Linked DNA regions of Macaca mulatta. The protein of the gene in region 4 interacts with the protein of the main gene of each other region in a pairwise test. Links are inferred from orthologs where the notes say so. Each region holds a gene or a part of one and is shown on either strand. Other genes may lie near its edges.

Region 1 (4,004 bases), on a different chromosome or scaffold from region 4:
GGGAAATGAACATCCCCTAAAATATCCAGATCCTGAATTTACTTTTCATCACTTAATACTTACAGCAACAGCCTGAGTGCCACTGGAGCCATTTATTAAAAATTAGTCATTACTACTAAGCACATTCTCCCCACCCCTTGAAGAAGACGAAGAAAAAAAACAGAACTACTCAGGTGTGGGGAAGGGGTGTGTATATGGGGCAAGTGAGGAAAGTAGCAACTTGTCTCTCTGGGGACAATTAAAAAATGAGACTTTGGTTTGACCCAAGTATCACCAGGATGTCAGAAAACTAAGGAAGGGTCTTCTTCTAACAACTGCTTCATTGCTCTTCTTTTTCTTAAAATGGAAATGGTCTGTCACAATGTAGACATGGAAATGAGCACCATGTGGAACAGTGATTAGACAGCGAAAGAAACTAACAGAATTACTGGAATTTGCCTTCGGAGTGGTGTAGATAACGAAGTAGGAAGTGCTTATGCATGTTTTAAGGCTCGTGTTTAAGCAAAGACACATGCAATTCAAGATTAATATACAAGAACCACTTTTCAATTTTTTGAAAAAAAAAATTAAGTTCAGGCTTAACTATGAAATAAAAATTTCACTACGTATACCTGCACTAGTTGCTAAACTGCATTCCACTTAAAGGACAGTACAGGTAACATGCCTCAGTAGACCAGAGTGTAAAAACACACAGACCACCACTGGACAGATCTCTATGTCATACACCGCCTTGGTTTTTTTTTTTTTTTTCAAACGGAGTCTCCTCGCTCTGTAGCCCAGGCCGGAGTGCAGCGACGCCATCTTGGCTCACTGCAACCTCCGCCTCCCGGGTTCAAGCGATTCTCCTGCCTCGGCCTCCCGGAGCAGCTGGGGCTACAGGCGCGCGCCACCACGCCCAGCTAATTTTTGTATTTTTAGTAGAGACGGAGTTTCACCATATTGGCCAGGCTGTATGGAGCTCCGACCTCAGGTGAACCGCCCACCGCGGCCTCCCAAAGTGCTGGAATTACAGGTGGGAGTGAGCCGCCGCGCCCAGCCTATAAACCGCTGTTAAGGTTGCAAGATGAGCGTGTACTAGGATGTGTAACTGGTAATTTCTGGAGTGTCTGGCAACAAACCTCAAAATCAAATTTCCTTAGAAATCCTTGGCCTAAGTTTTATTTTTAAAAAGGTCAACACAAAATTAATAAGTTCAAAAGGTGGCAAGTTCTATCACATTAATAAAACCAAAGCACAGCACAGGCAATAATATATTAACAAGAAGGTAATTATTTCAGTAACAGCAGCAACAGGTTCCCTGGAGGAGAATCCCCACTTCTCTATAAACGCTGCACCTAGATGGATTCAGAGCACAAAATTTACCACAGGACATCTAGCAGACCGAAGTCAAGCAACGCTGATCTTTTAAACAGATTTCACATTTCTTACCATTTCCTACCTTAACACTCCACCAAAAAAAGCAAATAGCTATCGAAATATAAAAAATAACGTTTCTAGCAACCCAAAAGTAGTCAGAGATCTCAAAAAAAAAAAAAAAAAATAGGGAAAGGGGTGCTGATGCTAATAAAGTGACACTACAAAAACTAAGTGCAAAAGTAAACCTACTCCTCACAGCGTATCACAGAACAGTTAATGGTTCAGGTACAGAGCCTCCTCCCCCAGGTCCTCCTTCCGCGACCATGACTCCCCAGTGACTATTTTACACCAAGTAACTACTGAAAACGCCCAAGGAAAAGGAGTGGGGGAGGGTGGCTTTTGAAGATTCAGGTAGCAAAGAGTGACTGCTAATTTCATAAACAATAATGCAAAACAAGCAAACCACCGCTCCTAGCCAATTACCAAGCAGGAGTCAAAGTTCCACCACGTAATTCGGGCCTGGGCCTTTTTTAGGCAAACACGTAATCGAAAGCACAGTCATTTCCCTCTTGATATTTTATTCATGCCGGCAATACCATTCACACTGAGCAGGTAGCAAAACAAAAGAAAAAAATAACAGCAGAGAAGGCAGAGGGGCGCGGGGTGTCCCAGCCTCTGTCTCTCCCCGGCCGCGAGCTCCCGCAGGCCGGGACGGGAAGCGCAGCGTCCTCTCTGCTGAGGTCTCGACCCCCACCCGCCCCACGGGGCCGAGGGTCCCCTGGGCGGCAGCGGGAGGGGACGTGGGGGCGGCGGGGACGCCAGACGCCGCGGGGACACCGGACGCCACAGAGAGCCTGTCGCCTCGGGGGCCTCCCCGGGCTGCGGGAAGTTTCCGTCCCGCTCTCGCGGCCCCTCCCGGCGAGCCCGCCGCAGCCCAAGCTCAGGTGCAAACTTCCCAAACGTCGCTGCACCCGGGGTCCCAACCCGCGCCCAGACCCGACGCCCTCCCCCGGCGCGATCCCGGCCGTCTGCACGGTCCGCCGCACCCATGCCCAGAAGGGACTGGCTGGGCCGCGGACCCGCCCGGGGACCCCACCGAGGACGCAGAGTGGCCCCTCGGCCGCCCCCGGCCCCAACCCTCCCCGCGGCCCCAGCCCCGACCGTCCCCGCGCCGCCGCGGGCCTGAGCGACCGGCCGGGCCTGCGCTGCGCGCCCCTCACCTTGGTGGCCATGGCGGGCGGGTCCCCCGGCCCGGGACGGCCGGCTTGTCTCCCGCGCCGCGGATGGTGATTCTGAGCCGCGCGGACGAAGGCAAGGGCGAGGGCGGCGGCTCCGGCTGGGCCCCGGCGCGGCGGCCGCTCCTCCGCCTCGGCCCCGAGTCTCGACGCTCAGGCCCAGCCGCTGGGCGCTCGGCTACTCCCGCGCCGCCCGCTCCTGCAGTTCCTGAAAGTCCCCGGCTGCGCGGCCCCCGCCCCTGCCGGCCGAGCCTCCCTTTTACCGCGGCGCGCGCGGCGCCCGGCGGAAGCGCGCCCTGGGCCCTCGGCCGCGGCCCGGCCTCCTCGCCTCCTGGCCGCCCCCGCGCTGCGCCGCGCCGCGCCGCCGCCCCGGGCAGTCGCTGCCGCCGCCGCCGGGCGCCCTGGGTCGAGGACGGGGGCTGCGTCCCGCGCGGCGGCGGGATCCGGACAGGCGCCCCGGGCCATGGCCCGCACCCTGCGTGGCCGCCCCACAGGAAGCGCTCCGCGGCCCGCACAGCCGCTCGGGGGAGCCGAACCCGACTCCGGTTCACGCTCGGCCAGCGCCGCACGCCGTGGCTCGGGGCTTTCCGTGCATGAGGCGGGCGGGGGGGCAGGAACTCTCGACGCTCCCGGCAGACAGGAGCCCCGCAACCCCGCTGTCTTTGCCCCACGCCGAGGGTGTTGCGGGGTCGCCGTGCCCTTGGCCGAGTACTTTGAGTGCCACGTAAACAGCCGGGAAGGAACGGAGCAATGGCTTCCTGGGCCTCTTTCTCCTGCCCGGAGGCTCCCTCAGGCTGGGGTCCTGGCTTGGAGCCCCTGGGACGGGACGGTGGGGGGTTCGTTTTGTGACGTCCCATTAACCTCATTCTGGAATCTTGATAAGTTTAAAAATGCCCGAGGGCCCAAGAGGTTTAGGGGACAACAGGCTCTCTGAAGTGGAAATGAGGGCTCTAAAATTTTCCATCTTTCTGTCAGTGTTTCTCTCCAGAGTTGGAGATATATATATGGGTGTTATGAATAAACGAATGACTTGAATTGAGCAGCAAGATTTTTCGCTCAAGGACAAAACACAACTGGAAGATGTATCATAATTGGCATATTAGTGGAGTGCTTTTTTATTATGAGGGATATATTTGTAAGAAGAGACAACTATCAAATCTTCAATACTCTGGTATTTAGAGTTAATGTCAAGTTTGTGTCTCCTTAAATACATTCTATTTGACCTGAGGTTTCACTAGTTACATTCAATAATGTGGTTTAAAATAGATACGGTATCGCAGAATTTTCTGTGAATTTTTGTGTTTGTTGAGCTCATGGTTAAGCTATAGTCGTCATAATATGCATAAATAGTTGTCTTTCTCCATAAAAAAAGATGGAGGCCAATATTCATTGACAGCCTGCTTGCTATATACT
Region 2 (3,500 bases), on a different chromosome or scaffold from region 4:
TGGCACAATCACAGCTCACTGCAGTCTCTAATTCCTGAGTTCAAATGATCCTTCCCACTCAGCCTCCTGAGTAGCTGGGACTACAGGCATGCACCACCTCACCCAGGAAATGTCTTAGTTTTTTGTAGAGATGGGGTCTCACCATGTTTCCCAGGCTTGTCTCCAACTCTGGGCCTCAAGCAATCCTCCCTTCTGGGCCTCTCAAAGTGTGAAATTACAGGGATGAGTCACAGCACCTGGCCTTAAAATGTTTTTAATTATATTTTTAAGATGTAATTTACATAGGCATTGTCAGTGGCCATATATTTCATTCTTTTCCAGTGGCCTAATTTACTGACCAATCTTCCTTAGGTTGTTTACCTTTTCAATTCTTTTATGATTAATTTATTATGTTTTAGATATTTAATCAAATAATTAAATTTTTAATTTTAGAAATTTAATTACAATATTTTTAATGCACTTAGGTGGTTTACCTTTTTGATTCTCATAATCAAAGTAATACCTCAGTAAACCTTATGGATGAAGATTTAACACCTCCCCCTCCACCAAACTCCTTTCTTCCGGAACACCATCCCGGGCCTCTGTTCCACATTCTCCTCCTACAAAAAGTGGCCTCCATAGGGCAGCCCTCCTTCCACACATCTTCCACCCCCAGGGCCAGCATCAGCTGAGCCCATAATGGTGACAGTCTTCTCCCCTGCAGGAACCCCCACAGGAAAAGAATCCATTGTGCAAGTCCACATTGAAGTTTTGGATGAGAATGACAATGCCCCGGAGTTTGCCCAGCCCTACCAGCCCAAAGTGTGTGAGAATGCTGCCCATGGCCAGGTGAGTCTGGTTCAGGTGGGAGGGGAAGGCAGCACCACCCTGGGGCAGGCTGAGGGGCAGAACTGCTCAACAGAGTCAGCAAGAGTTCCCCTGTACAATAGCCTTGAGGAAAATAACATTATGCCCATTGTACAGGTAGAGAAACTGAGGCTCAGAGAGAATGTATGGGGAGTATATTGGCAGGGCAGGGGAGTAGAAAGAGTGGCTTTATGAAGAACTAAATAGGTGAGTGTTGCAGGTGGGAAACAGCCATGGTCAGGTCTAAACCCAAGGGCTCCATCGCTAAACCTCAGACCACCCCACCACCATCACTGACTATCTCCTGTCTTCCACACCCCAGCTGGTCCTGCAGATCTCCGCAATAGACAAGGACATAACACCACGAAATGTAAAGTTCAAATTCACCCTGAATACTGAGAACAACTTTACCCTCACGGATAATCACGGTAGGCATCAAAGTAATCAGTTCAGACATGCGTGTAGTGCCAGCTACTCAGAAGGCTGAGGCAGGAAGACCACTTGAGCTCAGGAGTTTGAGGCTGCAGTGAGCTATGATTATATCACTGCACTCCAGCCTGGGCAATGGAGCGAGACCTCGTCTCCAAAAAAGAACAAATGCAGTCAGTTGGCACTAACAGGGTCGGGGTGAGGTTGAGTCTTGAGGCACCAAGGTCAAAGACCAGGCCAGCAAATTGAGGGCAGGCTCCCACTGGGATTTTCAAATCATTAGATATTTTGTACAATTCCTGCCACGTACATTGTACAATTGGTCTGTGCAATGATCAGAGACACTCCATCCAAACTCCCAAGTCCACATCGCCTGCAAGGAGCCAGCAAGGAGTACAGAACAGATGTGGGGATGCAGGCAGTCAGCTCTGTTGAAGAACTAGCCAAGGAGTCCTCTCCCACACTGGAGGCTCTCTGTGTCAGCAAAACTGCAAATTAAACATGGAACTTTGAGGTCACTCCCAAAGAGTCAAAACTGGAAATATGAAGTCCTAAATCCCAAGGATACAGTGAGCTTTGTTTTAATTCAGCTACAATGACTACTCACGATTAGCAGGGTGGCCGTGTGATGTCATTAGCAGCCAATCGGAGCTTCTGAGGAGCAGGTGCCGACTTGAATGATGATGCTGAGTTGACTTCATTCCAGCCACAAGTAGGCAAGCTTCCACGGCCTCTGAAATTTCCTCAGAAAAATAGAGAAAATTCCCCTTGGGTTCAAGCAGAGTGATCCTTCACCCAGCATGGGATGGAATTATTGCCTGTCCCTAATGGGCAAAACTATGGTGGATGAGGATGGCTGTATTGCAGCAGCCCATTGCTACCTTTGAGGAAGATTGGGGAGTGGGGTCCCTGAGAGTTGGAGGCAGACTTGAGGGATCAGCCACAGACCAGTCCTTAAGGAGACTCCTGTGGGATGGAGAAGGTGGCCCTGATGTGTTGACAAGTCAATGACAGACCATTCAACACCCAGTTGTCATTAGAATTAAATAATGTGGCAAAAATGTCACTCCCTCCCCAATGTCCACCTCAGTCCCATCTCAGAGTAGGGATCTGCAATACAGTAGAAAGATTCAGTGCCACCCCAAAGACACCCATATACAATAGGAGGCAAGCCTGCTGGTGTCAAATTCACTTATATCATGAACAACCTGCATGTCAAAATCTCTAGTTTCTCCCATAAGCATCAATGACATATAGTTTATTTGAAATATAATAGACTTAATGCTGAAATGTAATTATGAATAATGAAATATAGTTGGCTTTCATTCAAAATCTAAAAGATGGATTCCTGGGCTTTTCAATCCAGTGTGTGGAGCCTGTGTAGCTATGTAAATCCTGGAGCAGAGAGTCCCTGGATCCTTCTCTGATCATTGACATTACAACCTCCTGAGACCCTGCAAAAGGCAGATTATCTGGCCTCTGCCCAGAACCACTGAATAAGATGTGTGTGTGATCATAGGGGTCTGAAAAATCAGCGTGTTTTAAAAGCTCCCTGGGGGATTCTTGGGTACAGGAAATCACTGATTGGATCTGGGAAGGTGGGCGGGGCCAATATTTGGACAAAAGCATTTCCCAGTTCCAAACTGCCGAGGAAACCCACAATTCTATATGTAATCATTTTCTCTGTGCCCCGAGGGACATGCCCATTGTTTTCAACAATGTAACAATGGATTTTCAGAGATAGCTGAAGCTGCCTTAGAAGTTAACCTAATGCTAAAAGACTTTTTAAAACTTTATTTTTCCCCATTGCTTGTCAAAGCTTGAAACAGTGCACTCATTAATAGAGCTGAAAGAGAAAACCTGCTGATACTGGAGTGGGGTTAGAGAAGAGGAAGGGGACAGGCATCAGTTGCTCACAAATACAGAAAGCAAAGGATTTTACCTTCTTTCACCAAGGCATTCTCGGAGATTGGGTCAAAGCAGCAGCCCCAAAATATCCCCTCTATGGAGGAACAGGCCTGCACTCAGATGGCTGAAACAAGAGGTGCTGGGTGCAAAGGGCAGAAAAGCAGCCCAGGCAGCACGCGGGCTGGTGCAGTCAGGGAAGGCTTCCTGGAGGAGCCAAGTTTCCCCATCTGTGCAGATGGCAAAGCCCGACTCCGAGGCCTTGGTGTTTCCAGATAACACGGCCAACATCACAGTCAAGTACGGGCAGTTTGACCGGG
Region 3 (3,972 bases), on a different chromosome or scaffold from region 4:
CCTCTAAGTCATAGATAAAGTAGAATCTCATGGCTTACGGAAAAAGACAAGGTACAGCCCATTACCGATTTTGCCCTTCTTTTCCAAATTACTTAGCAAACTGTCTGGAAAGGGACAGAAAGCCCTCATGGGGCTGCAGGAGAGTCTGAGGGGGAGGTCAGGGCCACTATCAGGTGGATTTAGCTGGGCCTTGGCTCCAGGCTTCAGGCAGTGCCTCTTCCCCTGCCCAGTGAAGTCAGTAAGTACAAGAGAAGCCTTAAAATGTTAAGTATTGATAGCTCCAGTTTACAGATGGGAAACTAAGGTCCGGAAAAGTAAAGGCAATTGCCCAGTGTCCCAACGGTCCAGCAGTGAGTTCAAGGCAGGGCAGGGGGAGTCATGGAAAATATCTTGGCCTCAGAGACAGGGTCTCCAACAGGTGCCTGGAAGCCCATGGTGTCCACATCTTCCTGACAATCATGTCAGCAGGACAGCAATGACACTTATCCCCCAAGTCACAGAGAGGTACAGAGAGACCCAAGAGAGGCTGAGTTACCCCAATCACAAGGCAGCCTAGGAAGGACAGGAGGAGTGGAGAATGGCTCCAACTCCCTGCTATACCCTGCAGGAAGAAAAGCCTGACCTCATGGGTCAAGATGGATGTGGCTGGGGAGGGAGTCACATACCTTCCTACTGAGGACAGAGGCCTAGGTCACAGTGCTGGCCAGCCAGCTGCAATGGGGACTAGCCATCAAGATGCATGCAGACACAGCATGATCTTCTGCTGTCTCCCCCAAAGCCTGGGCCTCCAGCACAGAGCAGGGCACCCCTCCCTGGCCCATGTGGGGCCTGGTAGTGCCCTAGGGCCATCCACAGAGACATGACCAAGTGGACTCCAGCCTCTGCCCTGCCTCTGGCCTCTTTTGACCTTAGGCAAATCACATGACCTCTCCAGCTCTCTGGTTCCTCTGCTAGAAAACAGGAAGAGGAAAATTAACCTCCTGGAAGAGCTGTCAGGAGGATGGCTGGAAAGTAATTTCTAAACATTAAGAGCCTAAGTTGCCTCTGAGCCTCAGTTTCCTCCTCTAGAAAATAGAAATAATCTCTGGAAGCCCTTTCTCACACTGTTGAGAGAGAGTCTCAGATGGCAGTACGTGAGAAATGGCTTTGTCAGTGGCCCTGAAAGGTGGTGCCCACTGGGGTGTGTCTCTCTAGTCTGTTAGCTCCTTCAGAGGAGTGGGCCTTGCGCATCTTTGATTACCCACACTATGCCTAGTATACAGCAAGAGCTTAATAATAAATGGAACCGAGGAGAGGAGAGGGGAGGAAAGGGAGGAGGCAGAAGTCAGGCACAAGAATAGGAGAGGAGAAAGACAGAAAACAATGAGAAAGAGGGGGAGCCCAGGAAGAGGCTGCTGTGCCCACTTGGGTGGGGAGGGCAACGGGGAAAATAGGGTGGCAATGCTGAGCCCTTGACCAGGGCTGGTCCTGTCTGAAGGGCTGGTCCTGTCTGAAGGGCTGCCCCCAGGGGCTGTCCTGCTCCAGCCCCCTCCTCCTTCTGTCCCACTTTCCCCTTTCAGAGGCATAGACCGTTTCTTTCTGAGTATTTCAGGCCAGGTTCTAGAACGGGAGGGGTTCTCCCAGCCCTAGGTTCAAAACAGCCCCTGGCCAGCCACTCCTCAGGAGGTCAGAGGGAAAGGGAACAGAGTAGATGGATGCGATCTATTCGGATGGGATGGGATCTGTTTTCCCCAGGCTGGGGGCAGTGGGGAGCGTTCTACCCCGTGTGATGTGTGTTTCCACTTCTGGCCATGTGGGGCCTGGAACGTGTGTGTCAGCGGGCCTCCGGCTAGCAGCTCGTGCCTGCGGGGTGCCAGTCTTTGCAAGCATTAGTCTGATTGTGTCTGTGGGGGTCAGTGTTGGTGTGGCCTTGCGCTCCACTGTGTTGGTGAGACATGCCAGCACAAGTGTGTGTGCTAGTGAGGGTGATGTGTGTACCAGCAAGAGTGTTTGCTACAGCGAGTGCAGGTGACAGTTTGCGTATCAGTGTATGCCCACACGTGTGTGCTAGCACGAGGGTGTGTTAGAATTGGTGTGTGTTGGAGTGTGAGCTGTTCATGCCAACAAGGCTGTAAGCAAGAATGTGTTGACCGAGGCGTGTATGACGGCGTGCCACTGTGTGTGATGAGCGTGTGCCAGTGGCTGCCAGTGTGTGCGCCAGCATGCCTGTGCCACGGGTTAGTGTGCCCGTGCGTGTATTGTGTGTCAACCTGCCCCCGCGCGTTTCTGCGGCTGCCGGCCAATGCTGGGTATCAGCAAGCTGTGAGTGTGTCCGGGCCAGGAGCCGCGGCCCACATGGGGCGGCCCGGCCCTCGCCCTTTGGGTCCCCCTCGCCCACGGCCCTGCCGGGGAGACCACGCAGGAGACCTCGGGTGGAGGAGGGCTGGTACTAGATCCCGGGATGGCCGCGAACACAGAACCAGGACGCAATCGGAGCCCCCGCCCGTGCCCTCGCCGAGGTCGCCCCCACACGCCCCACGCCGGGCGACCGCCCTGCACTCACCGGGTCCCTTTGTCGCCCATGGTCCGCGACGGCCGCAGGGAGGTCCGCGGCGTCAGCACCCAGGCTGGAAAATCCCCGGCCAGCAGGAGGAGCGCGGGCCAGCCCGCTCCCGGCTCCCTGCTCCGCCTTCTCCGCTCTCCCGGCCGCCGCCGCCCCCGCCCCCGCCCCCGCCCCCGCCCCCGCCCCCGGTCCCCGCCCGCCTCCCGCCGCGCCGAGCAGCGCAGCGCCCGGGCCGCGGTCAGGGGCGTGGAACCGCGCGGGGTGTGTGTGTGTGTGCGCGCGCTCGTGCGTCTGCGTGTGCGCGCGCCGCCCAGCGAGCCGGGGCAGCGCTGCAGGACGCGTCAAGGCCCCAAGGTCGGCGTTTGTGGTGGGGGAGGGGTCCACCCGCGTGCGAGTCCGTATGAGTGAGTGTGTGTGTGTTTGTATGGTGGTGGTGGTGTGGTGTACGTGAGGGCGCACGGCTGTGTGCGGGCCCTATTGGGAGTGTATTGGTGTGGATGGAGGAGTGTGCACGTCTTTGTGCAGTTGTGCGTGTGTGCGCACGGCCGTGGGTGCGAGCGCGCTCTCCCGCGCATGCCGGGGCAGCCTTTGTGTGTGCGTGTGGTTGGAAGCCGAGGGTCTGGCGACCCCGAGGCCGCGCTCTCTGCGGCCGCTCGCCTAGCTGGAGACCCCGGGATGCCTGGCAAGGCCTTCGCCCTGTGCTCCACCCTTCCCCATTCCACCCCACCCCACCCCCTTCTACTGGAGAGATAACACCCAGTCACCCAACAGAGACAGGAAGAAGGGGTGGAGGGGGCAGTAGACGGCCTTGACACTGGGGAACTGAGCGGAGACCCGCGACCAGCAAGGGCTGCAGGAAGCCGCCCAGGAAAGGGAAGCTGCGAGAAGTGAGAAGAGGCGATAAAGGAAGAGGGCAGAGCTGGCCCGCTGATGTGACCGGGTAGCACCGTGGAAAGTGCCCATGCCTAGCTCCATGGCCACCTGTAAAGTGAGGATACACTAATATCAGCCTGCAGAATTAATAGGTTGAAAGAACTTGCTTGTTTGCTGGCCTCCCCAAGTGCCTGCATACAGTAGGTGCCCAGTAGATGTTAGCCCACTTCTCTGCAGGCTTCTTGATGTCCTGTGAAATCTTGGCTGGGACGCTGCTTTGTCTGAGGTGCCTTCCTGCTTTGCAGGTAGTGGGAAATTGTAAGGTCTTTCCCACACCCTCACTGCTGAGATTTGGCTAACTATCCCTGAAAGGTCTAAGTATTAAGGGAGGAAGCTATCATTTACTCTGATGCTGTTGTGAGTGTGTAAACATCTCCTGTAATCATGCTCAGAAGCAGTTACCTATACTGTTTATATGCAGTATCATTACTATAATTATGTCCAGATTTGGCAGAGGGGCAGGGGAAGGCTGATGGGTAGGCAGGGTGGCCCACCTC
Region 4 (3,500 bases):
TGCTGTTGCTGCAAAAGAAAGTGGGTTCTTTCCTGCACTTCTCAAAGTAATGGACACGTGTGTCTTTTGTAAATTTAAAGTTCTCAGAGGATAGCCTGCTTTGAGGACAGTGTGTGTGTGTGTGTGTGTGTGTGTGTGTGCATGCATGTGTACATGTATGTGTGGTGTGTATGTGGTATGTGTGTCTGGTGTGTGTATATGAGTGTGTATGTGTGCTGTGTGTGTGGTGTATGTTTGTATGTGTGTGGTATGTGCATGTGTGGTGTGTATGTGTGTGTATATGTGGTGTGTGTGTACATGTGTATGTATGGTGTGTGTGGTGTGTATGTGTCTTTGTGGGTATGTAAGTGTGGTATGTGTTTGTGTGTGGTGTGGGTGTGTGTGTACATATGTGTATGTGGTGTGTGTACGTGTGTGTCTATGGTGTGGGTAAGTGTACATGTGTGGTGTGTGTATGTGTGGTGTGTGTGGTGTGTATATGTATGTGTGTGGGGTTTTTGTGGTGTGTGGTATGTGTGTATGTATGTGTGGTGTGTGTGTGGTGTGGGTGTGTATGTGTGCACACATACATGTATGTGGTGTGTGTACATGTCTGTGGTGTATGTGTGTGGCGTGTGTACGTGTGTGTGGTGTGTATGTGTGGTGTGTGTGTGTGTATATATGTGTGTGTATACGTGTGTGTGGTGTCTGTGTGTATATGTGTGTGTATGTGTGTGGGGTTTTTGTGGTATGTGTGGTATATGTGTGGTGTAAGTGTGTATACATGTATGTGTGTGTGTGGTGTATGTGTGTGTATATGTGTGTGCATGTGTATGTGTCTGTGTATGGTGTGTGTGGTCTGTGTATGTGTGTGGTGTGTGTATATGTGTGTGTATGTGTATGTGTGTGTATATATGTGTGTGTGTTAGCAGGTTGTGAGTGTCTGGATAAAGCTTAAAATTTATTAATATTAACTAATATTTAATTAGTTAAATATATGTTTCACAGGTCAAGGATAGAGCCAGCAGAGAGAACAGGGATCAAATCTGTCACACACACACATACACATACACAGATGTACACACATCATGCACATACTCACACACACACGTATGTCTGTCGTTTGTTTCATAATCTGGAAATTTTGCAGATTCATTCTTAAAACAGAGGTACAGCAAACAACCCAGACACAACAAGGAGCTTGTGCAGGCTCCATCATGTGTTTATCTGCTCCTTACGCCCTTCACTGTGTCTGCAAATCTGCCACTGTTTCCCCCTCTGGAGATGCTGGAGGGAGCACCTGGCTTGGACACTGGGTGGTGGAGACTGGCTGCTGCTGAGTGGGTCAAGGAGGCTGAGGAGCAGGAATGTTTCCAGACAAGCCACTCACCAGGCACTGGGAGGAAGGTGTCGTCTATGCTGTCCTCAGTCAAGGCGCCTGTGGGGTCTGAGCTGTATCGCTGTAAGAAGCTGTCTTCCTTGATGGGACAGCTTTGCAGCTGCAGGAGGAAATGAGGGAAGGTTACTCCAGTCAGGGCTGCTCCAACTTCAGTGTGTGCAAAAATCACCTGAAATCTCCTTGAGATGCAGGTTCTGATTCGTAGGTCAGGCAGGCCTGAGAGTCTGCACCCTAGCGGGTGCCCGTGCTACTGGGCCGCAGGCTGCAGGGTGGGCAGCAGGGCTGTGCTGGGTGCTGTCCAGCAGAACTTTCTGCAGTGAGGGAGGTATGCTATGAGCGGTGCTCTTCAATACGGTTGCCACTAGGCACGTGTGGCTACTGGACACTTCATATGTGTGAGAAACTGAATTTTATATTTCATTTCATTTAAACTTACTAACATTTAAGTTGAAGTAGCCACATGTGGCTAGTGGTTTCTGCATGGCACAGTGTGGTCTAGACCAGAGCCTCACATTTCAACAGGCATCAGCATTACCTGGAAGGTGGCTCAAACAAAGACTACTGGGCGCCACCCCCAGAGGTCCTGATTTGGTCAATCTGGGGCGGTGGCCTGAAAAATGGCATTTCTAACAAGCTGCCAGGTGATGCTGCTACTGGTCCAGGAGCCACGCTTTGAATGGCACTGTGAGGCGTGACAGCCATGCAGGGGAAAAACCCACACAGGAAGAAAACTCAAGATTATCTGGGTTAAGATTATTTAGGTTAAGGCATTTTCCATGTATAATAGAGTCGTAGTGCAGAGCTGTAAATGCTGGCTTATAAGGTGTTCATACATACCCCATTTCTATCAATGCAAGCCACAGTGGAATTGTTGCTAGTTGCACTCTGAAAAAGAAACAGAGAAGTTGCCCATGGAATGCTTGTACCGCATCTCATCCACTTTTCCTGAATGCAAGTGGTGTGCCTCATGGAGGATATCGTGAAGGTGTTTAATTTTTGTCTTAATCATTAGTTTTAGAGCAACTATGTTTAGTTTTGATTTAATTCTGTTCCATAGTGGACCTAAAAGGCTTACAATCAAGTTGTTGCAATGCAATAAAGTAATACACTTATTTAATTTATTTTGATTTTACCATTTGGTTAAAATTGACTTCATCTCCATGTGAGTTTCACTAGATGGCTGTTATTTTCCCTAAAATTCATTCATTTTGTTCAATTTGAGAGACAGCTTGAGAGAGACAGAGGTTTCATACCAGAGAGCTCAGGAGGGGAGTCCGTGACGTGGAGGGGCTGCTGAAGAAGCCTTGCTGTGGGATGAGGTACTCGTCGGCATCCACCACGTCGTCCATGTCTTCTTCATCCATCAGGGCACGGTAGAAGTTGGAGTCTGTAGGGCTTGGCAAATGCATTCTTTCATCCCCCTGGTGCAGAGATTTTGAGGCTATTAGAATGGCCCGCAGAGATGCTATTCCACTTCTTGGCTATAGGAGCAGGGCTCTATTGCCAGCAGGTGCCTGTGTGTTTGCCAATTTTGTTATAATGAAATCCCCCTTAGTTCTCTGAATTATAGCTGCCTCCCTCATGGCATGTGGGTGCCTTAAAATAAAACATGAACCATCCTTTGATGCTTGAAAGCCCCTACATGGGATGCAAATAGCTTCTGAGGAAACAGGGAAGAAGCTGCAGCGTTCATCGAGTGTGCACCTTGCTGTGAGGTACTAGGGAGTGTATTTTGCAACATATCTTATTAAATCTTTGAGACCAATCCTGTGAGCCTGGTTTTGGTATTCCCATGTTATGGAAGGAGATAGGTGGATCGGCTGCCTGGGTGATGGGATGAAGTGGAGGGTCAGGGGTGTGAAGCCAGGTCTGCCTGACACTAAGGCCAACACACCATGCTTCTCTGTTAGACCCAGCTGAAGCTTTGGCTAGCTGGACAGTGAGGATGAGTGTGGGAGGAGAGTTCAGGCGGGGACGGGGAGATGGAGTTGGGTGGGCCCCACTCACGGACCCTGCTTAGTTCACGATGTGGCCTGCGCCTTAACTGAGGCTTGCTCTAATGCGCTGGGGGGTTTAATAATGCGATCTGGGACACAGGGAGGCCAGGTTGGCATGTGACAGA
Region 5 (3,500 bases), about 90 Mb from region 4:
TACATTTATATATCTATACATACAGGACCCATGAAGGCCAAGTATATAAAGTGAGACAGTAGCTGAGTAATGTACTTGGTAATGATAAAGAGCCAGTAAGACTGTGTGACATATGTGTGGGTTACATGTACAGAACACAGAACCATCTTTTTCTTCTATTTTTCTCCATATAAAATTGATTGTGTGAAGGTAGTATTTGAAGTAGTACTGGAGTTGTAGTATTAGAACTTGAATAACAGAAGCCTGAGAGAGGCAACGTTATTTTCTCTTAGCCCTAAACTAAGTTGTTACTTTTACAACAATAATAATTATTTATTTATTTAAGTCTGATGGTCAGCTCTAAATTGTTACAGAATTTATTTGGAAAGGAGTTCAACTGACTTCATGTTAATTTTTGTGTTTACTTTCTAGCAAGGGAAATAATTTGCTACTAGCTTATGCTAGACATGCTTCACAAAATTTATCTGGATGAAAAGCATCAAAGACACCCAACTATGCTGGCATTACAGAGTGACAAAAGACAGAAACTTATCAGTATCTATGGTGAAGAGGAAGATGTAGCCAATAATTCCATCATAAGGTACTACCACAGAAATACTAATGGTTAAAAGAAATGGGTCTGAAAATAAGTAAAAACCATCCTATATTTTCATTATATTAGCATGACTATTATATATTATTAAAAAAAAAAAACAAAACGTATTGTAGGGAAATAATTAGCAGAACTCACAGATACCAGCATAGAATAAATGCATTTTCAGAATCATGTATCTCACAGAAGCCTTACATTTCTTATGAATGAATGAAGACCTTTCTTTATCTCTTCCTAGCAAACAACCTCGAAACAAAAGCTTGAGATTTTTAATCTCATTCCTGTGACATTCTATGACATAAAAAATTCAGGCAGTTTACCTCATCTGTGAGGATTAGGGCTAAGAATTTAGGCAATTTTCACTGTTTTTAGAGTTTGCTAAAGAAGACTATACCATAGATATAACCTTAACTTTAAATACCATGTGTCTACGTATATCCTACTGACGTGTAATTTAACAATTCAGACCTCTCCTGTGACTTCCAGACTCATAACCAAATGCCTACTCCAGATCTATAGTTGAATTAACAGGTATCTCAAATTTAATATGTAAAACCAAACTCCTAATCTTCCCTTTCAAACTTTTTCTTCCTAAGTCTTTCCCCTTTCCAGTTGTTCAAGTCAAAAACCTTGGAGTTATCTTGCACTCTTATTTTTCTTCAACTTTCATTTTCAAACCATCAGCAAACCCAGTGATCTCCACATTCAAAATATAACTAATATTTAACCACTTCTCATTGGTGCTATAAACCTGGTTCAAGTCTCCATGATCTCTTGCTTGGATCATTACTATACCTCTGCTAAAAACCCTCCAATGGCTTCCCATCACATTCAGAATAAAAGCTAGTGTACTTCAAGGGGTCTCCAATGACTTCTTGTATTTCATTCCTTACTATTCTTTCCCTCCCTCTCTTGCAAGCTCCCTGATCTCCTCATTGTTTCTCAACCTAACAGACTTTATATTTTCTGTTCTTTCCATCGGATACACTTTCCCTAGTTTTCTACATGGTTCACTTCCTGAACTGCTGGTCTTTTCTTAAATGTCACCTCAGTTAGGCTTTATCGTCCCTTATCATTCTTTATCATTTCAAAATGAACCTCTCTCTCTCTCTCAACAGCCTGCTCCCTATTTCTCTTTTCTGTTAGACTTTTGTCCTTAGTTCATGTCACCATTTAACATACTATACATTTTTCTAGTTTGTTTACTGCTTGTCTCTCTCTCTCTCATTAGACCTAATGCATGTCGATGAAGGAAGGGACTTCTGTTGTTTTGTCAAAATTTTATTACTATTCCACAATAAATATTTATCTCTATCTCTGTAATGGAACAAATATGCCTATTTAAGGAAAATAAACATTGCTCAAGGATCTTAAGACATGCACATCCTTACAGAGAAACAAAAGGAAGATAACATTTATTGAGCACCTACCATGTGCTAGGCAATCTGCTGATTAGTGATATACTGTTTAATTCTCACATCTATATGCTTTGTGAATTCTCTGAATGTAACAAACAAGAAACTGAGGCTCAGAGATTAAATAAATCTAAGAAGAAGAAAGGTCTGTTTCTAGCACATTATGTTAGAGAAGCTATTTAGCAAACCTTAACCACTCCAATCAGCAAAACTCATATTCTTGTCCTTTCTTTAAAGCAATATTCATTTATATGGTGGTATGTATATGTTTAACAATAACCTCAGAATAGGTACTGGTTTATTCAAATCAACCTTTTAGAAAATGATAAAGGTTTAAAAAAGGTCAGTATTCTTTAGCAAACTCTAGAAACAGTAAAAATTACTTAAAATTCTTAGTCCTAATCCTCACAGATGAGGTAAATAGCCTGATTTATTATTATTTTTATTAATATTTAATTAATTTTTTTTTTTTGAGACGAAGTTTTGCTCTTGTTGCCCAGGCTGGAGTGCAATGGTGCGATCCTGGCTCATCGTGACCTCCACCTCCTGGGTTCAAGTGATTCTCCTGCCTCAGACTCCCGAGTAGCTGGAATTACAGGCATGTGCCACCACGCCGGCTAATTTTTTTGTATTTTTAGTAGAGACGGAATTTCTCCATGTTGGCTGGGCTGGTCTTGAACTCCCAACCTCAGGTGATCCACCCGTCTCGGCCTCCCAAACTGCTGGGATTACAGGCATGAGTCACTGCACCCAGCCCTGAATCTTTTATGTCACAGTAATAAGATCCAAAAAGCTCAAGCTTTGTTTAGAGGTTGTTTGCTAGGAAGTCTATCAGCATTTCCTGATATAGGAAACAAAACGGTCAATATTCCCAAAGCTGTTCTTTCAATTTATGGCTATGGCTGTGGTGGTGTTGCATTGGTAAGTCTCAGACTAGTCACAGAGGCAACAACTTTTTAAAATACACCCTAGAGCCCATATCAGTAGTTACTCAATTAGCAGAGAGAAAGCTAGCAAAGACAGTCATAAAATAAAAATAACAGAATGTCATTCAAATTTATTAAACACACACACACTCTGTCTCACTCTCTCTCTCTCTCTCTACCTGAAGAATGAATGGCTTTGCTCCTTTTCTGCATCACTTCCATTAATGCACCCACAATTCCTGAAGTGGGTGCAGGTGTTGGTGGTGTAGACTCTGGGCCATCAGACACCTTGGAAAAGAAAGTTAGCAAAACTCAGTAATAAATCTTTAGCAAAGAATCTTTGTCTCCAGAAAGTCCTACTTTCTTAGAATGACTTATTATCGTAAAAGACAAAAAAGATATTAAACTGGCAAGTCCAGGACAAGATTAATTAAATTAACAAGAAACAAACTGCTGCCTTAAAGATATTATTCAAAAATATTTCCTTTCCATCTTAATGTATAAGCCAACAATACATTTCTAAATCTATGTTTATATTCAGATAACAAACCCTCTCCTGAATAGTAC
Region 6 (3,340 bases), on a different chromosome or scaffold from region 4:
TAGCCAGGATGGTCTCAATCTCCTGACCTTGTGATCCACCCGCCTCGGCCTCCCTAAGTGCTGGGATTACAGGCGTGAGCCACCACACCTGGCCCGTTTTTGACTTTTACAAACAGCCGGGCGCGGTGGCTCAAGCCTGTAATCCCAGCACTTTACAATGCTGCTGTGCATATTCTTGCCTGTGTGCTTCTGAGGTAATGTGCCTGGGTAGAACTGCTGGGTTGTAAGGTACGTGCATGTTCAGCTCATCTAGTTAATGCCAAACTATTTCCAAGGTGGCTTGTACTAATTTCTCTTCCACCAGCAGGGTGGGAGGTCCTACTTCTCCACTTCCTTGCCAGCATCTTCTTGACAGTGTTTTTGCATCCTAACACATCTGCCACCTGAGTCTTTGTAAGAACAGCCAACGCTGAATGTTCATTCACACGGTGCCAGACCCTGTACTGAGGGCTCTGTGTGTGATTTGATTTCACCCTCACAAGACCCCCATCTATTATGAACATGTTATTGATGACCGAGAGAGCAAGTCTTTGTCTTGCTTCTGCCCAAGACACTTCCCTTCTGCCGGGGCCCCATGGCCATGTTGCCTATCTTCGTTTCCCAACCTGGGTGGGGCTGAGTCCCAGCAGGGCCTCAGCGCCACCCCTGGACCCTTTTCTCCTCAGGCTCTTACTCCCTGTCAGTCCGTCTCAGCCGCCCTGCATCCTGGGACCGAATCAGACACTACAGGATCCAGCGCCTTGACAATGGCTGGCTGTACATCTCACCGCGCCTCACCTTCCCCTCACTCCAGGCCCTGGTGGACCATTACTCTGGTATGGCCTTTCCCTGCCCCCAGGAGTAGGCTGGGATAGTCTGCAGGGAGGAGCAGGCAGTGGTGTCTTCGGATATTTTACCTGCTATGGAGTATTCAGACAGACAGAAGAGAGGCCTCCCCTATTTTCACACCAGTCCCCATGCCAAGAAATGCAGGCTGGAAGCCTTGTCTTCACCTCGTGCCCTAGCAGAAAAGCCACATACCTCCTGTGTAGGCTCCGGTCAGTACCTTGCCTACCACCCTGGTTCTGATTCAAAGCCCCTGGCAGCAGGCGGAGTTCTCTCCACAGGAACCGGACCCAGAGCTGCTGCTGTGTGGGATTCAATCCTGACTCTCCTTAGTACTTCCTGATGCCGGTCCTTCAACAGACACTGGAAGATGCAGTCACTGGGCACAGCGTCAGGGCGCAGAGAGGGAAGAGCACTCTCAGAAAACTCAGGGGTTTTCTGCAGGTCACTCCATGCAGGAGTAGACAGTAGTAGTAGACTGAGCAGTCCTTAGCTTTCTTCTTCCCAAAGCAATTTCCTAACCAGAAACTTGAGCTCAAGAGGTCCATGAACTCACCCTAAATCATACAGTGATTGTCTCCCAAAAGTTAGCCCAGAAAGACCTTTGACTGCATCTGTCTCCATGAAACCAACAGCTTGGGGCTCATGTCCTGTCACTCTTTTGTAACCATGCCCCCTCCTGCCAAGTGTGGGGGGCTGTCAGGATGAGGGCTGTTGGAGAGAAGTAGGGTGGAGTCGGCCATGTCAGGGATGGAGGTCTCTTCCTCAGAGCTGGCGGATGACATCTGCTGCCTCCTCAAGGAGCCCTGTGTCCTGCAGAGGGCTGGCCCGCTCCCTAGCAAGGATATACCCCTACCTGTGACTGTACAGAGGACACCACTCAACTGGAAAGAGCTGGACAGGTAAAGTCGGGGACTCCTGGAAACATGAAAGCAAGACCAAGAGTTAGAAGGACCCACCCCTGGGAACCACAACCCGAATGTACCTGTCACACTCAGGGACACCTGGCAGCTGGAGCCAGGGCACACTGACTCAACTCCTGGAGCACAGCCCAGGCTCGGCAGGTGGGGCTGGGAAGCTGATCTGATAGGGAACAGGGGAGCCCCATGAGGTCCTCATCAGGAGTGAGGGGTTTTGAGAACAGTGCATTTTTGTGTGTAGTGAGTGCAGGGAGGAGGAATAGGCTCCTTGACCCAATTCTCTTCCTTTGTCCACAGCTCCCTCCTGTTTTCTGAAGTTCCCACAGGGGAGGAGTCTCTTCTCAGTGAGGGTCTCCGGGAGTCCCTCAGCTCCTACATCAGCCTGAATGAGGAGGCTGTCTCTTTGGATGATGCCTAGGCCCAAAAGAGAGGCCAAAAGGGAAACCAAGATTGCACACCTAGAACCCCAATTCAGCCCAGCCACCTGAGCACCCCAGAGGCAAGGCTGTGCACTCAGTGAGGGAGGGCTGGGACACAGAGGTGCATCCAAGGTCCCACCTGTACCCTTGCTCTTTCCTCTCTTGGCCCTAAGTCGTCACCTACCTCCTCCCAGTGCCATGACCCCACCTGCGACCTCTAGTCCAAATGCAGAGAAGTTGGGACCAGGGCCAGGGTTCCAAAAAGAAAGTAAGCCTCCTGCGGGTCTGACCTAGTCAGTTCTTGAGTTTGTTTCCAGTACCATCTGGATGCCCTGCCTGCTGAGCCCCGTTCTACATCCCCCGTTAACCAGGCCCCGCCCACAAGGTAGAAACAACCCCTAGCTTCTGTGAGAAAATCATTTTCGGGAAATTGACAAGTCTCGTTGAGACCACCACCGTACCTCAGAAGATAGGACTGTGGCCTAGAAGGGAAAGGAAAACTGAGGAGATGATGTCTTACCATAGCAGCAGATCATAGGTGCTCCAGCCTCTACATGATCTCCAGAGCAATGAGAAAGACTTCTGACAGTCTAAGTCCTCAAATGTCCCCCATTGAGGACAACAGCCCCAGCTCTTTTTTTCTGAAACGGAGTCTTGCTCTGTTGCCCAGGCTGGAGTGCAATGGCGCGATCTCAGCTCACTGCAACCTCCGTCTCCTGGATTCAAACAATTCTCCTGCCTCAGCCTCCAGAATAGCTGGGATTACAGGTGCATACCACCATGCCTGGCTAATTTTTTTGTATTTTTAATAGAGATGGGGTTTCACCATGTTGTCCAGGCTGGTTTCGAACTCCTGACCTCAGGTGATCCACCCGCCTCGGCCTCTCAAAGTGCTGGGATTACAGGTGTAAGCGACCGCACCCAGCCTAGCTTTCAGATCTCTATTTCATTTTGTGGCTTACCATTCCCTAGCACACTGGCCTTGCCATCTTGTGGCCAAATACAAAATAACACCTCTTAAGTCTAGCACACTGCAGTGAGGCCAGGCACCTCAGTGCTGGGCAGGGGCATCAGAAGGTGCTAAGCCCTCTCTCCACAATGCCAAGACTGAGGCCACAGCCTACACCAAATCCAGCGCTTAATTTCCCTGCTGCCCTCATAAAGAGAAAGAGGTCT
Region 7 (4,101 bases), on a different chromosome or scaffold from region 4:
TTTTACCTGAGATATCTATGAGAAAAAGAGGAAAAGAACAAACCACCAAATGTAGCATAAATTGAGCCATAATGCTGTGAGAGTTTACACTTGTGCACTTTAATGGAAACATCATATATTATTTTGTTGGGTTTCACGAAGAATGAAAATGAGCCACTATGGAAGTTACCAGAACCAATTTTCCTTCCATCAGGTGGGAAATTTCTTATGGAATGTGTTCTGTAATAGTTGCTGATCCAATAATCTTTTCATTTCATAGGTCTAGTTCCTTGTTTTGTTGTTCAACTAGTTTCCATGTCAAAGATCTATGCGTATCAAAATTTATGCATAACTGATCTATATTACAATTTATATATACAGTTCTATGTAACTGACTCTATTTAAAAGAATTAATGTAGATAGGATTTTTAATGTCAATGCTTTCATTGAATGTCATAATGATCAAATTTTTGGCATTACCTTTGTTCAAAATTTTTAGCCAATCTGGAACTTTATTACTTCTATATTTCTTATAACAACAAGCTATATCTAGGAACAAAAGTCTTTTGTTTTTGAAGGCAAAAAAAATATAAATAGAAAGTCATTCGGCACTGTGTAATGTTAAAATTTACAAATATTATGTTATTTCTCCATTGTCACAAGAATTCTAGTGGATAGACAACTTAGATAATGCCCCTATATACAAAAGTAAAAACAGCTAGGCATGGTGGCTCACACCTGTAATTCCAACTCTTAGGGAGGCAGAGGCAGGAGGATAGCTTGAGCCCAGGAGTTTGAGACCTGCCTGGGCAATATAACAAGAACCCATTCTCCACTAAACGGGAGGGAAAAAAGACAACAAAACAAAAGTAAAAACAGGTTCAGGAAAATTAAATATGTCCCTAAAGTCACAGAATAATAAGTGGAGGTGGAATTCAAATGTAAAATTTTGTTTGTTTAGTTTTGAAGGTAACATACTTTTTTTAGTCTACAACCTATTTAACTACAAAAGTGTGCCAATCAGTGGTATTAGGATTGGGGCAGATGTATACTCTGAAAATAAAAGTGCAAAATAAATATACCATCTGGAAATAAAAGTGCAAAATACAGAGGGGGGAAAAAATCAGTCCTTCCATTTATTTTCCTTTGTAATGCCAGTCGAGTTGGTTTAGTGAGTAGTTTTGCAAGACTTGTTTCACTTTGTTTTTGGACATAGCTGAGCCACGTACTTCAAACAGAAGGCAGCCAATTACTAACTTCTGGTTGCTAGGTGTGGCTTCCTTTCAAATCCTATAAAATCAGGAGCCCAAGTCTCCACCGCTAGTGTGAAATCTTCAGAGAAGAATTTCCCCTTAGTTCTTTGCAAGAAGGTAGAGATAAAGGTAAGTCTTGGTTTTCCTTTTAGTTAGTTTTGGTTGTTTTGAAAACTTTTCTCATCACTATGTTAAATGTTACTGCTTCTACAGGATTTATGGTTAGTTGCATTTAACATGATAAGTCATTCACAAATCTTTCTGTAGAATTACATTGGATATTTATATTTTAGGAATCACAAATTACAATGTTTTTCTTCTTCTTAGTTAACAAATACAAGTAAAAATATGATAAGTTTGCTTAATACTGGCTCATTGTACTCTTGGTAAGCTACCATGAGAAAGAAGGAAAGAATGTGCTTTTCCTTTGGTAGCCTTTAAAGAATGTGTTTTTCCTTTTCTTCCCCTTGAAATATTTCTTCCCAAGAGCTGTGTGTGTTTTACGGAGAAATCATGATGGGGGCTGCTTTTTGGGGGCAAGAACAAAAGTGATAAGAGTGAGCTGCAGGGAACTGTTTCAAAATAGTAGGACTTTCATAATTTATTTTCCTCTTTTGTAAGGAAAACAAGATAGATCAGACCTCAAAGTGATAATCATGCCCTTTGTAATAAACATTTTTAAATATATGTTATGTTTGCTCGTGCTATTTAAATTAAAAATATATGTTATGTTTGCTCGTGCTATTTAAAATAAGAAGGTCCGCTTATTACTTGTTTCATTTAAAGAGGGTGTGGTCACATTCCTTTTCTTGGAGGCTCTGTGTCATATACAGGCTTTTCAAATGCTGGCTGGAAAACCTAAGAAGGGAAATACTTACTGGGTAGTGTCAGATACATTAGCCTAAGGGAATGTTAGTAAGGCCCTCTAACAGCTATTCCACTTGAGTGTTGCATGAGCTAATGGCCATAAAACTCCTTAGAAAAGCGCAAAGCAAAACTAAAGAAGAGTATTTACTGGTGTTGGATATATTTGTAAAAGTGAGATTACAAATCATGACCATATATCTGGGTATTTTTTCTTAAACATATTCCTTCAAAGATTTTTCTGTTTTTTCATTTTAAATGTTTATTAAATGTTCTGATTTCTTATGTTCACTGCTAGTTAATTAACAAGGATGAGATTTTTCCTGCCTCGATTATGTCTAAAAGATTGTATAAACTTTGAAAAAGCAATGTTACCCCCTTTCCACAGGAGTATTTTGGTAGCTGTGAGAGAGTGCACTTTGCAAATGACTCAAATGTGGTAAAATGTTGGTTTCATAATTCTGAAATGGCCTCTTCCCCAAAAGTGACATTACCACCCTAGCTCCAGGCTCAACCACATCTGGCACATAGTCAGCATTTAACAGATGTTGACAAAATACTTAAGAATAATATTATTAAGGAACCAACCAGAGTTTCAGGCTTATTAAATACTTTTTCAACCAAAATGTCTGCAAAGGTTGATTTCTGAAGATGACATTAGCTCTCTCTAGGCCTATTAATTTATGACATTTAAAATAAGAGCTAAACCAGTGGAATATTTTCAATGATAAACTATAAACAGTTTTTTGAAGTCAACTATTTCCTTTTCCTTTAAAGTTGGAGAGAATTTCATCAGGAAGCTCAGAACAGATCCAATTTACACAATACCCTCCTTCATTATGCTAGTTTTCTTCATCTTCATCCACTTGAAGTAAAATTTAAGATTGGCACTTCAGAGCTGTAAATGGATCTTAGATACTAATTACTTCAACATTTTTATTTTATAAACGAAGACCCTCTGGAGAAGCTAAATGTTTTTCTTGAGGTCAGATCGCCAGATAATCAAGAACTAGTACACTTCAATTTGTATTTTATATCCTATAGTTGTGGGGAGAAAATGTTTGTTAAATTAGTGTAGATATGTTTTTAAAAATATTAGCAATGATACATGATACTCATTCAATAATACTTATTAACATCCAGAATTCCAGGCATTTTGCTAGGTATTGGAAGTACATACATAATGAATATTATTATGTTAGCACGGGCCTCATGGCCTGCTCCTGGGGAATATAAATAAACCAATGGAAAGTGATAATACAGAATGGTGGGGCTGGTGTAGGGGTGAAGTCAGGATGCTATGGGAGAGCATGGAAGGTCACCTAATCCAAGACTGAGGAACGAATGAAGGGTTTCTGAAGAACATGATGAGGTCAATGCTGACGCCTCACTTAGGAGTAGCTATTAGTTAGGCAAAGAGAACTGAATGTGGAGAAGGAACAAGTATTCCAGGCAAGAAGAACACCCTATCGAAAAGCTCGGAAGCAAAACATTAGTGAGGCTACCTTTCATAAATTGCTTTTTGTAAATCATGCCATTGTGTAGTCTTAATTGCCTTCTCTCATCAGGAAAGGTGTGGGAAGGACTTGTGAAATATATATTCGAGGAAAAACTATGCACAAGGCATGCATTTAAAAATAAACTCTCTAAGGCTGGGTGAAACTTGCCATGGTCTGCACAAGTTGACTGTTAATGAATTTGATTCTCAGGTGTGAGTTATTAAAAAGAACACTGATCATGTCATTTTCTTTTTGGTCACTAATTTAAAAGAATAACATCCTTCCCTCCTTCCTTCCTTCCTTCCCTCCTTCCCTCCTCCCCTCCTCTCTCCTTCCTTCCTTCCTTCCTTCCTTCCTTCCTTCTTCCCTTCCCTTCCCTTCCCTTCCCTTCCCTCTTTCTTTCTTTCTTTCTTTCTTTCTTTCTTTCTTTCCTTCCTTCCTTCCTTCCTTCCTTCCTTCCTTCCTTCCTTCCTTCCTTCCTTCCTTCCTTCCTTCCTTCCTTCCTT

Evidence for each region.
Region 1: the proteins of EGFR (region 4) and SNX9 interact in a protein complementation assay, tested with the Homo sapiens proteins (3 studies listed by BioGRID and IntAct, with this or other methods). The link is inferred for Macaca mulatta from reciprocal best matches to the Homo sapiens genes EGFR and SNX9.
Region 2: the proteins of EGFR (region 4) and CDH5 interact in a two-hybrid assay, tested with the Homo sapiens proteins (2 studies listed by BioGRID, with this or other methods). The link is inferred for Macaca mulatta from reciprocal best matches to the Homo sapiens genes EGFR and CDH5.
Region 3: the proteins of EGFR (region 4) and ARRB1 interact in a protein complementation assay, tested with the Homo sapiens proteins (3 studies listed by BioGRID and IntAct, with this or other methods). The link is inferred for Macaca mulatta from reciprocal best matches to the Homo sapiens genes EGFR and ARRB1.
Region 5: the proteins of EGFR (region 4) and WASL interact in a protein complementation assay, tested with the Homo sapiens proteins (3 studies listed by BioGRID and IntAct, with this or other methods). The link is inferred for Macaca mulatta from reciprocal best matches to the Homo sapiens genes EGFR and WASL.
Region 6: the proteins of EGFR (region 4) and SLA2 interact in a protein complementation assay, tested with the Homo sapiens proteins (3 studies listed by BioGRID and IntAct, with this or other methods). The link is inferred for Macaca mulatta from reciprocal best matches to the Homo sapiens genes EGFR and SLA2.
Region 7: the proteins of EGFR (region 4) and ANXA1 interact in binary tests that used the Homo sapiens proteins (3 or more experiments, as listed by UniProt). The link is inferred for Macaca mulatta from reciprocal best matches to the Homo sapiens genes EGFR and ANXA1.

The regions. Positions count from the first base shown.
Region 1 is NC_133409.1:76,689,599-76,693,602, reverse strand, and holds the start of SNX9 (sorting nexin-9), read right to left. Parts: upstream 2,801-4,004; 5' UTR 2,589-2,800; coding exon 2,577-2,588; intron 1-2,576. UniProt on the Homo sapiens protein: Involved in endocytosis and intracellular vesicle trafficking, both during interphase and at the end of mitosis. Required for efficient progress through mitosis and cytokinesis. Required for normal formation of the cleavage furrow at the end of mitosis.
Region 2 is NC_133425.1:61,923,656-61,927,155, forward strand, and holds part of CDH5 (cadherin-5), read left to right. Parts: intron 1-703; coding exon 704-828; intron 829-1,168; coding exon 1,169-1,274; intron 1,275-3,455; coding exon 3,456-3,500. UniProt on the Homo sapiens protein: Cadherins are calcium-dependent cell adhesion proteins. They preferentially interact with themselves in a homophilic manner in connecting cells; cadherins may thus contribute to the sorting of heterogeneous cell types.
Region 3 is NC_133419.1:75,743,723-75,747,694, forward strand, and holds the start of ARRB1 (beta-arrestin-1), read right to left. Parts: upstream 2,801-3,972; 5' UTR 2,563-2,800; coding exon of another isoform or gene 2,543-2,562; exon of another isoform or gene 2,512-2,542; intron 1-2,511. UniProt on the Homo sapiens protein: Functions in regulating agonist-mediated G-protein coupled receptor (GPCR) signaling by mediating both receptor desensitization and resensitization processes.
Region 4 is NC_133408.1:73,282,415-73,285,914, forward strand, and holds part of EGFR (epidermal growth factor receptor), read right to left. Parts: intron 2,800-3,500; coding exon 2,632-2,799; intron 2,264-2,631; coding exon 2,216-2,263; intron 1,479-2,215; coding exon 1,370-1,478; intron 1-1,369. UniProt on the Homo sapiens protein: Receptor tyrosine kinase binding ligands of the EGF family and activating several signaling cascades to convert extracellular cues into appropriate cellular responses.
Region 5 is NC_133408.1:163,488,482-163,491,981, forward strand, and holds part of WASL (actin nucleation-promoting factor WASL), read right to left. Parts: intron 3,222-3,500; coding exon 3,113-3,221; intron 1-3,112. UniProt on the Homo sapiens protein: Regulates actin polymerization by stimulating the actin-nucleating activity of the Arp2/3 complex. Involved in various processes, such as mitosis and cytokinesis, via its role in the regulation of actin polymerization.
Region 6 is NC_133415.1:89,470,549-89,473,888, reverse strand, and holds the end of SLA2 (src-like-adapter 2), read left to right. Parts: exon of another isoform or gene 1-60; intron 61-156; exon of another isoform or gene 157-665; coding exon 666-815; exon of another isoform or gene 816-1,594; coding exon 1,595-1,727; exon of another isoform or gene 1,728-1,743; intron 1,744-2,042; coding exon 2,043-2,163; 3' UTR 2,164-2,840; downstream 2,841-3,340. UniProt on the Homo sapiens protein: Adapter protein, which negatively regulates T-cell receptor (TCR) signaling. Inhibits T-cell antigen-receptor induced activation of nuclear factor of activated T-cells.
Region 7 is NC_133420.1:104,165,722-104,169,822, forward strand, and holds the start of ANXA1 (annexin A1), read left to right. Parts: upstream 1-1,301; 5' UTR 1,302-1,361; intron 1,362-4,101. UniProt on the Homo sapiens protein: Plays important roles in the innate immune response as effector of glucocorticoid-mediated responses and regulator of the inflammatory process. Has anti-inflammatory activity.